Linked DNA regions of Bombyx mori. The protein of the gene in region 3 interacts with the protein of the main gene of each other region in a biochemical or structural test. Links are inferred from orthologs where the notes say so. Each region holds a gene or a part of one and is shown on either strand. Other genes may lie near its edges. The genes, in order: FAS-associated factor 2, Rad23 and ubiquitin-protein ligase E3A.

Region 1 (3,661 bases), on a different chromosome or scaffold from region 3:
TATCTTGTAATCTAACCACTGAAGTAGGAAACCTATGGAAATGAAACGTCAACAAAAAATTCGTGCCGCTGTGACGTCATCTGGCCACAAAACATGGCGGTTTTAGTGCTGCCCAGAAGATTTTAATGTTAGTAGGTTTTATCGATAAACGTTCTTGGCTCATTTTAATTTAAATATTGTTGAGTGAATGTATTTGTAGAATTTATACTTTAATAGGAAGTAAGTATATTGTTATGTGCAAAGATGATGTGATTTAGATATTATGTAAAATCTAAGACGAGATCGTGCTTCAAATTTGCCAAGTAAACGATATGACGATTTTTAAAATTTGCTACACTGATTTTATAAAGTTGTCGTTTGCCGCAAAACATAAAGATATGGCGTAGTACAGTGCCATCTGCCCATTTCTAGCATGCTGAATGTTATCGTATTTTGAGTACGTGTTTTTCTTAGACTATTACAATCTATTTCAATTGTTTTGCTGACTCTAAAGTCCGTAACACACTACCGCAGCGCACCTCAAGGAAGGTACGCCGCACCATTTGAATCACTCTCACTTGAGAGTGATTCAAATTTTAAACATATCAAGGGACAGCCTGATAAAAAAAAACACCTACAGAACATTTATTCGTTAATAATATTACAAACGCCATTCCTTGTGACTTCCTCTCTAAAATCACTTAATTATTAAATATTTAACGAGTTGACAATAGTGTTATAAAACTATTTTATTAAAATAGTTCCGACGACTTTCTTGAGATCCTATAAAATATGTTTTAATTATTATTTTTTGTATGTTTTAAGCATGATAAAATAAGAAATTTTATATAAGCAATCATATTAAATCGATATCAAAGTCAATAAATACTGTACAACCCAAAACAGACGGCCGAACTGACGTGACAATGACATTTGGCGCGCTAAACATGGCGGATTTTCGGCCTCATTAGACGGAGACGGAGACATTTACGTATATTCATGTTTCATTTTATGTACGCACTGAAATACTGTTATATTGTTTTCCTGCGAGTTAACGTGCTGAGTAAGAACGAGATAGATATATGTTTATGTATGTGCCTTCAAAATGGGTGCTATTTATATAAGCAATTGTACGTATAGAACAATATGTCGTGTCCCTACTATATAGGTCTATGAATCTAACGGATTCAAATCTGGACTGGAGGAGGGCCAGTCTTCGTGCCGGATGAAGTCGATTTCACGCGCCGCCAGCCAGTCTTGTGTGCTCTTCGCTCTATGAGCTGGCGCCGAATCTTGTTGGAATACCCAGTGCCTGTTATTGAACATGGTATGAGAAACAGGTTCCACAAGGTTCGTCAGGACTGTATTTTGATACACAACTGCATTCGTTTTTACACCTTTCTCACAAAAATGTACCTCTGTTAAGCCCCAATAAGAAACTCCCAACCATACCATGAGCGAGGATGGAAAATGACCTCGTTGGACACGCGAAATACGGTTGCTCGGTTCTTCACTACTGTGTGCGTACACCTTATCATTTTGTTTGTTGTAGCTCTCTTCTACGGCAAAAATTTTTTCATCCGAAAAAAGAATTTCCCGATATATTTTTCCCGCGTACCGCTTCAACAAAGCGCGGCATCTCTTCAGGCTCAGGTCCATTAGACGAGCATTCAAACGATGTCCTGTTTTTCTTCGATATGCCCGAAGCCCTTAATCTTCATTTAACACCCTTTTCACCGTGGTTCTGCTTAACCCCATCTGAAGGGCCCACAGTTTCTGCTTACGTTTGGGATTTCTTTGAATTCGCGCCTTCACAGCTTTTATCACTGCTGGAGTCCTAACAGACCGAGGGCGACCACTTCTTGACCTGTCATCTACACTAGAGTCTTCATTATATCGTTTGATGGTACGATAAACGAATCTTTTGGTTATATTCAAATTTTTCAGTATGTTAAAAATTTGAATTGGCGCGTAACCGCAACGATGCAACGCAATAACTGCAACACGGTCTTCTTTAAGCGTCCACTCCATATTTAAAAATGACTAAAATTCTAAAAGTATACATTTTTATTTTCATGAACAATTCGAAATTCGAATTCAATAAACTTTTTTGTGGCCAGCATTCTAAAAGAAAAGTTTTTACTGTGTGACAATACTTATGACCTGACTAGTTACATATATATAAAAATGAATTGCTGTTCGTTAGTCTCGCTAAAACTCGAGAACGGCTGGACCGATTTGGCTAAGTTTGGTCTTGAATTATTCGTGAAAGTCCAGGGAAGGTTTACAAGGTAGATAAATATGAAAATGCTCGGAATTAAATAAAAATAACAATTTTGTTTTTCCTTTGATGTTTCTCCCGTCGGACGGATTCCTTTTGTTTGTTTTAAGTTTATTTGATACAAAAGTTAAGGTCTTTTATTTATCGATTGAGGCACTACGAAGTCTCCCGGGTCAGCTAGTTATATATATATTCATTCATTCTTGTTAATTCGTGAAATAAGAGGGTAGTTGGAATTGATTAAAAAAATGTATTAACTGGCAACCTCTTGTTTCCGGCGTTCCTCTTGCTCCAATTCCTCTAAGTACTGTTGTTGCTGTAACTGTTCTAATTCACGGGCGGCCGCTTTTCGTCTCTCCTTCTCCTGGTCGGCCGCGAGGGATTCGGCGTATGCTTCGTCCTGGGCAGCCCTCAGCCGCGCTGTCACTTCGCGTTCCACTCTGGTAAATATATTTCAAATATAGATAGGTTTGTGCACGAGATTGGAGTTTTATTAATTGGTTTGATTAGTGGACGAGATGATTGGATAGACATTTATAGCGTAAACCCATCTTGAGACATGAGTTGTAAGGTTTCACTTTTAACAGGGCTGCCCCACCCTTCAAACCGAAACGCATCACTGCTTCACGGCAGAAATAGGCAGGGCGGTGGTTCTTACCCATGCAGACTCATAAGAGGTCCTACCACCAGTAAAAGTATTTAAACCGAAGAAAACCTTACCAAGACTTCCTAACACCCGTAATTACGCAAACTATGTATATTTTATTTTTAATGCCTTTGTAGGCGGACGAGCATACGGCCCACCTGATAGTAAGTGGTCACCGTCGCTCATGGACGTCAGCAATGCCAGAGGCCGAGCCAAGCCGTTGCCTACCATAAAATATAATAATTTTATTATAATAAATATAATAACTTTGCGGTTATGGTTTTTATTACACGATGATATTCCTTCACTGTGCAAATCAATCGTGAACATTTGTTAAGTACGTATTTCATTGGAAAAATGGTACTTGTCGGCGGGATTCGAACACCGGTGCATCGTTACATACGAATGCACCGGACGTCTTATCTTTTAGGCCACGACTTCAAAATCATCAACTAAGCACCCCACGAATTGTACCTACTTTTTTTTAAAGTGATAAGCACAGACCAAAACTAATATTGACATATTGTTTTCTTTTAATTCGTCAGCTTGCGCCACTGAAAGCCACATCTGAAACCACATTCGAATTTTTAAATTCATTCTCATCTGTCCGTGCGCAATTGGAATAGCTCTGTAGACTAACAATTATTTTATAAAGAAAAAAAAATCCCTATACAGCCTATACTTGAAGATCGTCATGCCGACTTACCTATCCGCTCGAGCGGCAGCCAAGTGACCCTCGTTTTCACTGACAACTT
Region 2 (3,110 bases), on a different chromosome or scaffold from region 3:
CTCTAGTATTATTTTTAACACAATAAAAGTAGTATCTGAGTATAATAGACTATAGCTTAGCCTGTATCATAGATAATACACTTAAAAGGCCAGTATTCTTGGTCCTTGGTATATCCTTAAATGACAGTGACCACTCACCATCAGGTGTGTCCTACTTGGCCATCTACAGCAATAAAAAAGGAATGCAAATCTCGACCAAACATTCTATAATATAATGTTTTCATTATTTAAGATTTTAAGCATGACCTATATCTACTTTTTTTGTGAAATATTTGTATTATGTTGTAGTGTTATATATACATTAAACAAAATTTATAATCAAAAAATTAAATTAAACTGCTAAACAGCATCGATTACTTTATGTAAGTATAATGAATACAAGCTGAAAAATAATTATAAATTACAAATGTGGTTGAAAATTTAATCATTTTACTTATTTGATGATTATTTTAAGTAAATTTACTTTGACTGTAAGCAAATAAACATTATTACAAAAATAATAAACCACTGAACAATAAGAAATTTATTAGATATTGAATAATGACAAGCTCTATAAAAGTGTATGAAATACACAGATTGTGTAGATTAAAACAATGAATTTTGCAAAAAAAACAACACTTTTTCCTTTTGCACTTGTCATTCGATTAAGTCAAGAACTTAGTCATCAAAATTCTGAGACAGCAAAAAGTTAGCTGCAAGATTCTCATTTTTTTCACAAGCAAAATAGGCTTGTATCACCATATGTTCAGGAAAACCAAGAGCTTTTAATCTTTCAATAGCTTCTTTATCTTGAGCAGACACTTGAATAACATTCTGTGACCCTAATTGAGGTTGTTGAATATCAGCAACATTCTCATCTGATGCTACTCCCGCAGCAGAAGGGTTCACTGGTTCATTTAACATTCTGACAAAGGCTTCTTGATGTTGGCTGATTACTTGTAATAAAGCTGGATTTGTCTGACCAATCTGCTGTAACACAGCATTTAACAAATTGGGATTCTGTTGTATAACAGCACGCATTTGCTGAAATTGTGGTTGATCTCGCAGGAAGGCTAATGGGTCTTCATCAGAACTTTCTTCAGCTTCTTGTTCATGTAGCAATTCTTCAGGAATACCTGTTATTAAATATTCTACAGCTCTTTCTCTATTATTAAATGAGGCGCGTAATGCTTGTTCAACTTGTGGCCTATCATATCCCATATCCATAATACTTTGGATAGTTGCTTCTAACTCAGCATCACTAGTGGTGTTGGGAGTCTCGGTAACTCGCTCAGTTTCTGCTGTAGTAGGCTTGACTACTTCTTCAGGAGGAACAGTCTTAGGCTTAGCATCACCACTATCAGTAGAAGCACTTTCGCCTGCTTCGGGTATGGAAGTTGATGTAGGCTGGCTCTCGGAGACTTTAGGTTTTGTAACCATAATAACAATGAATTTCTTTTCATCTATGTTGTAAGAATTTATTTTGTTGTCGTCCAGAAGAATTTTTCCCGCATAAATAAGTCTTTGATGGTCGGCGACAAAATCCTTCCCTTTTTCCACTTCAATTTTTAACTTCAATGCTTTCACAGTTTCTTCTGGATCTATTTCAATTTGAAATGTTTGCTGTTGTAAAGTTTTTAGCGTCACCAACATTTTTACACTTTTCTTATTATATTAGATGATTCAGTAAGTTGTGCACAAAATTTATCAACTGAATTCTGACTCGACAGAATTATGCAGTAAACATAACCTCTTCCAAAAGCATAGATTACACTATACCTGGTAATCCTGGTAAGTATGTAATGGATTGTGCACTAATATTGGTACCTACCTACGAGTTCTACTAGGGATGTGAAGATATTTTAAAAGATGATTTATTTGCTATAATTTTTTAGGTAATTTTTTTTAAGCGAGGTACTTTATGTACAACGGAACAAACATCACACACATTTTTGATGAAATTTTGTACAATTTATTAATTAACACAATTTAACAATATTTGTATGATCTCGACGACTTTAATTTACTACATAAGCTCCTGGTTAAATGTCTTAATTTAATATACTCAAGTTTAAATTTTCTTGGCTCGTACGTATTAGTTTATTTGTTTTTTTTAATGTACTTTTAATATCTCTTTTTTACTATTTTAATAGCGGGGAATTTTCTATGGACTTTTTTCAACTTTTCTTATAATTTTTAATGTCAAAAATTTGTTAATTTTATTTTCAATGAACTTTTGATTCCTTAGTGTTATAAACTGTATGTATATTCACTACAAGGGGAAACTTATACCGTTTATTATTTTATTAACGTTTTGTCTGGCCTAGCTATAAATGGTAGATCTTTGATCAACAAGATGAAATGGAGCCACTCGCTAAAACCATCTTGCTTATTTATACCGTAAATTAGTCTTTACCGTCTTTTCGGTCAGCCCATACCGTGCGTTTCGAAGATCAAATATCTAGGCGTCACAGAGGATTCCGTCCCCATATAATAAAGGTAAGCGACCGAGTCGCTTTTTTTTTTAAATCCTACCTAAGCTGATAGCCTTCAGAGGCTATGTCAGCGTAACCTAATAATTAGGTGAGCTCATGGGACTCAAACTTGGCAACGCTGCTTACACTAACACTAGCAAGAGCAGTACGTTGCAGAATCTACTACCGGATCGCAAACAAGACCCACTGAGATTTTTTTTTTTATTGCTTAGATGGGTGGACGAGCTCACAGCCCACCTGGTGTTAAGTGGTTACTGGAGCCCATAGACATCCACAGCGTAAATGCGCCACCCACCTTGAGATATAAGTTCTAAGGTCTCAAGTATAGTTACAACGGCTGCCCCACCCTTCCGGATCCGGCGAGAAACTCAGTGGGCTGTATCGGTGGATTAATTTACTCGCCGAGGCCTTCGTCGCAAGCGACGGGTTCGACGAGAACGGTAACCCATGCTCGAAGTGCCTAAAAGCACCGATAGTGGATCGGGAGGATACGAAATGACGTGTTTTGGGTGACTGCGACTGTTTACCAATTCGTCCGCAGGTTTGGGTATGTAGGTGCCGGCAACCACGACAAGAGGGTTATTGTGTCGCGCCGCTTTTTCGAAATGACGTACTGTTGCGGACTGAAGATACTTA
Region 3 (3,661 bases):
TAGTAGGCGTGAGTATTATTATTTTTTGCATACCGAAAAGTGGTTGAGTGTGGCTTAATCTGTAATAAATAGTATCTGTTTTTTAATTAAAAATAAATTTAGCCGTACAAATATTTTTTTAAATACCAGTATAGTTGTTGAGATGTGCTTAAAAGTTTTAGGGGGTATTAATAGGCATCTCAGTCGCCTTATGATGTACGTGAGTTAATAAATTATTAGTTCGCATTTATTGAACAACAATTTTTAATGCATAAGAGCTCTTTGTGTGCGTGCGTGCGTGTGTTTGTGTGTGTGTGTGTATGTGTGAGAGAGAGAGAGAGAGATCGCTAAGAGCGATCTTTTCCAGGTAACCATCAAAGTGGTGGAAGGTGGAAAAGAATCGCTTGGAAACTAATTACACGCGGTGTACCAATCAATTGAAATATATTTATATACACACATACATACACCTAAGTAATTGTAATTTGTTTTTACCATCGCACCGCCCGCCACCGGAGTAGAGTTCATCCATACTACCTGAAGCCACTGCGGTCATCCACAGTGCGCTTCCAGAGGTCTTTTTTGCCACGTACCATCCGGCTATGGAATGAGCTCCCCTACACGGTGTTTCCCGAGCGCTATGACATGTCCTTCTTCAAACGAGGCTTGTGGAGAGTATTAAGCGGTAGGCAGCGGCTTGGCTCTGCTCTGCCCCTGGCATTGCTGAAGTCCATGGGCGACGGTAACCACTCACCATCAGGTGGGCCGTAAGCCCGTCTGCCTACAAAGTCAATAAAAAAAAAAAATTAATGTGATATGTTTTTTCCAGCCAACACGAGGTTCTCGTTCCTGCGGCACCCGTTCGTGCTGACGGTGGCCAGCAAGTCGCTGGGGCTGTACTACGAGAACCGGCTGCGCATGTACTCGGAGAGCCGCGCCGCGCTGCTGCAGGCCGCCGTGGGCGCCGCGCGGCCCGAGCCCTTCCTGCGCCTGCGCGTGCGCCGCTCGCACCTCATCGAGGACGCGCTCGTCGTGGTGCGTACACACCCACTACACACCCACTGGTGGCACCCTGCCCTGCCTATTCCTGCCGTGAAGCAGTAATGCGTTTCTATTTGAAGAGTGGGACAGCCGTTGTAAGACCTTAGAACTCATATCTCAAGGTGGTTGGCGGCATTTGTAGATGCCTATGGGCTCCGGTAACCACTTAACAACAGGTGGGCTGTGAGCTCGTCCACCTATCTATGCTATAAAAAAATTTGGGTTTTGGTTAAGCCTGTCCTCGAAGCAGCTCACCATGAAAGCACCACAATTCTGCATATGTCTGTCACGGTGCAATTGTGTACTCCAGTCTGAAGGCTCGGAGAGTTGTGACGTGGTGGTACTCTGTGAAATGTGTTTTCTCGTTTGTCTTCTATGTTGTTTAAAGTATACTAGTGGGACCACTAGTCATTGGGTCTTGGGAGCTTTAGTAAAAATTCGACTATAATTAATTGGAATTATAAGTTTGAACAATATTATAGTTCTATTGTCAAATACTATGATATGATATACTTCTATAATCACAGATTTCGTCAAGACTACACTATAGACAAATAATATTAAAGGCAAACAATGTTAACATGTTCTCAATTTAACCACAGACTTTGAGCATTAACAAAAGTTCAACAATAAACCAAGAGTATATGAGTCGACTATTATCAAAGCCGGCAATCTGACTTTTGGACAATGATTGGTAAATCAGAAAAACGAATTATTGACTTTGTATTCCATTGGCAGTCACAAAACTCTTCGGAACGACATCTTAGATAAATAACAGGTTAACTATTAACCTTTATTTAATGCAGGTTTTGAACCGTATTCTTTGAAGGAGACGATTATATTCAAATCAATCTGTATTGACATATCAATAAATTTTTTTTGTCCAAATGCACAGATTGCCACCTTTGATAATAGACGACTCATATATAATATGTATGTATGTGTGTGTCATGCTTTTTTTATTGATTTAATGTATTATTAATGCATAATTAAAAAAAATTGCATTCTACACTCCTTTTCTATATTCTCTAAGTGTGGGAGATTTCATACTCCTCCGTCCACGCCATTTTCGTAAAAATGGGTACAAAGTTTTTGCTTCACGTATTAATATATAGGTGTCATTTGATTTTAGCTGGAAATGATATCAATGGAAAGAGCTCTGGATCTGAAGAAGCAGTTAGTTGTTGAATTCGAAGGGGAACAGGGCGTCGACGAAGGAGGTGTCAGTAAGGAGTTTTTCCAACTAATTGTCGAAGAAATATTCAACCCGGACTATGGCATGTTCACGCACCAACAGGACTCTCGTAATGTATGGTGAGTGTTATATGGGACCATTTACTTGTAAGCCATATTTTCCTAGTATGGATGGTATCAGTTTGAATGTTTATTTGTTCATATAAGGTACACAATTCTACAGCCAACCAACATTCAGTAACTCATTAGATCGGGTTGCCGTATAGAGCTAGTTTACAAGATTGCAGGTTAAATATCTAAATTGTATTTTATTGTATTTTGTCTTCCCGAGCGCTATGACATATCCTTCTTCAAACGAGGCTTGTGGAGAGTACTTAACAGTAGGCAGCAGCGTGGCTCTACCCTTGGCATAGTCGAAGTCCATGGGCGACGGTAACCACTCATCATCAGATGGGCAATTAAAAAAAATTGTATTGTAAGCTAAAGGGATAATAACATAATAAATAAAGATAATAGATAAATTGACAAATTGCAGGTTCAACCCCACATCATTTGAAACGGAAGCACAGTTCACTTTGATTGGTATAGTGCTCGGTCTTGCCATATACAACAATGTTATTCTAGCAGTTAACTTCCCTATGGTTGTGTATAGAAAGCTGTTAGGCAGGAAAGGCTCTTTCGAAGACTTAGTTGATTGGAATCCTGTAAGTATCCTGTATGATTAATGTTATATGGTATAGTAATTAATTTCACCTTTTACTGGTGCCAGGATATATCCTGTCCATGGGTGAATTCATATGTTCAGGTCTGAACTGTAGAATATTTTGAATATAAAATGTTTAAATGTTTAATACTAGATAGGTTGAAAGCTCCCCTGCAATGTTCTCCAAGGTCTATGTAAATCTTGATTGCTAATTTGTTCAAACCCCATTTCTATTAAGCTGTAAGCCTATATACCTTATCATGCTTTGCTGAATTGAGGATAAATGTATGCGGATTCGTGGCAGCTAATTGATGGTACTTTGAAAGTACATGCCACTTCGTTAATAAACAAAACAAAATTACAATATGCATAACAAAAGTTAAGGTTATATTAATATTTTACATTTCAGATTTTATACAACGGCTTAAAAGATATGCTAGAATACACGGGCGATGATCTAGAAGAGGTTTATTATCAGACATTCAGGATATGTTACCAAGACGTGTTCGGAACTAATATGTTTCACGAATTGAAAGTGAACGGAGATAATATTTTTGTTACACAAGAAAACAAAAAGGTAAGACAAGTTTTAGTTTAAGGTTTATATTTATTACACTTTTTTTTAAAAAAATTTATTGACATTGTAGGCATTCGATCATACGGCCCACCTGATGGTGAGTGGTTACCGTCGCCCATGGACTTCAGCAATGCCAGGGGCAGAGCCAAGCCAGTGTCTACCCCAGT

The links.
Region 1: of the proteins of ubiquitin-protein ligase E3A (region 3) and FAS-associated factor 2, one has a biochemical effect on the other in vitro, tested with the Homo sapiens proteins (2 studies listed by BioGRID). The link is inferred for Bombyx mori from reciprocal best matches to the Homo sapiens genes UBE3A and FAF2.
Region 2: of the proteins of ubiquitin-protein ligase E3A (region 3) and Rad23, one has a biochemical effect on the other in vitro, tested with the Homo sapiens proteins (9 studies listed by BioGRID, with this or other methods). The link is inferred for Bombyx mori from reciprocal best matches to the Homo sapiens genes UBE3A and RAD23A.

What each region holds. Positions count from the first base shown.
Region 1 is NC_085109.1:7,642,011-7,645,671, reverse strand, and holds part of FAS-associated factor 2, read right to left. Parts: coding exon 3,613-3,661; intron 2,701-3,612; coding exon 2,526-2,700; intron 1-2,525. UniProt on the Homo sapiens protein: Plays an important role in endoplasmic reticulum-associated degradation (ERAD) that mediates ubiquitin-dependent degradation of misfolded endoplasmic reticulum proteins.
Region 2 is NC_085116.1:8,907,773-8,910,882, forward strand, and holds Rad23 (nuclear excision repair protein rad23), read right to left. Parts: upstream 1,798-3,110; 5' UTR 1,633-1,797; coding exon 658-1,632; 3' UTR 509-657; downstream 1-508. UniProt on the Homo sapiens protein: Multiubiquitin chain receptor involved in modulation of proteasomal degradation. Binds to 'Lys-48'-linked polyubiquitin chains in a length-dependent manner and with a lower affinity to 'Lys-63'-linked polyubiquitin chains.
Region 3 is NC_085119.1:5,216,286-5,219,946, reverse strand, and holds part of ubiquitin-protein ligase E3A, read left to right. Parts: coding exon 1-8; intron 9-808; coding exon 809-1,014; intron 1,015-2,152; coding exon 2,153-2,334; intron 2,335-2,749; coding exon 2,750-2,918; intron 2,919-3,326; coding exon 3,327-3,494; intron 3,495-3,661. UniProt on the Homo sapiens protein: E3 ubiquitin-protein ligase which accepts ubiquitin from an E2 ubiquitin-conjugating enzyme in the form of a thioester and transfers it to its substrates.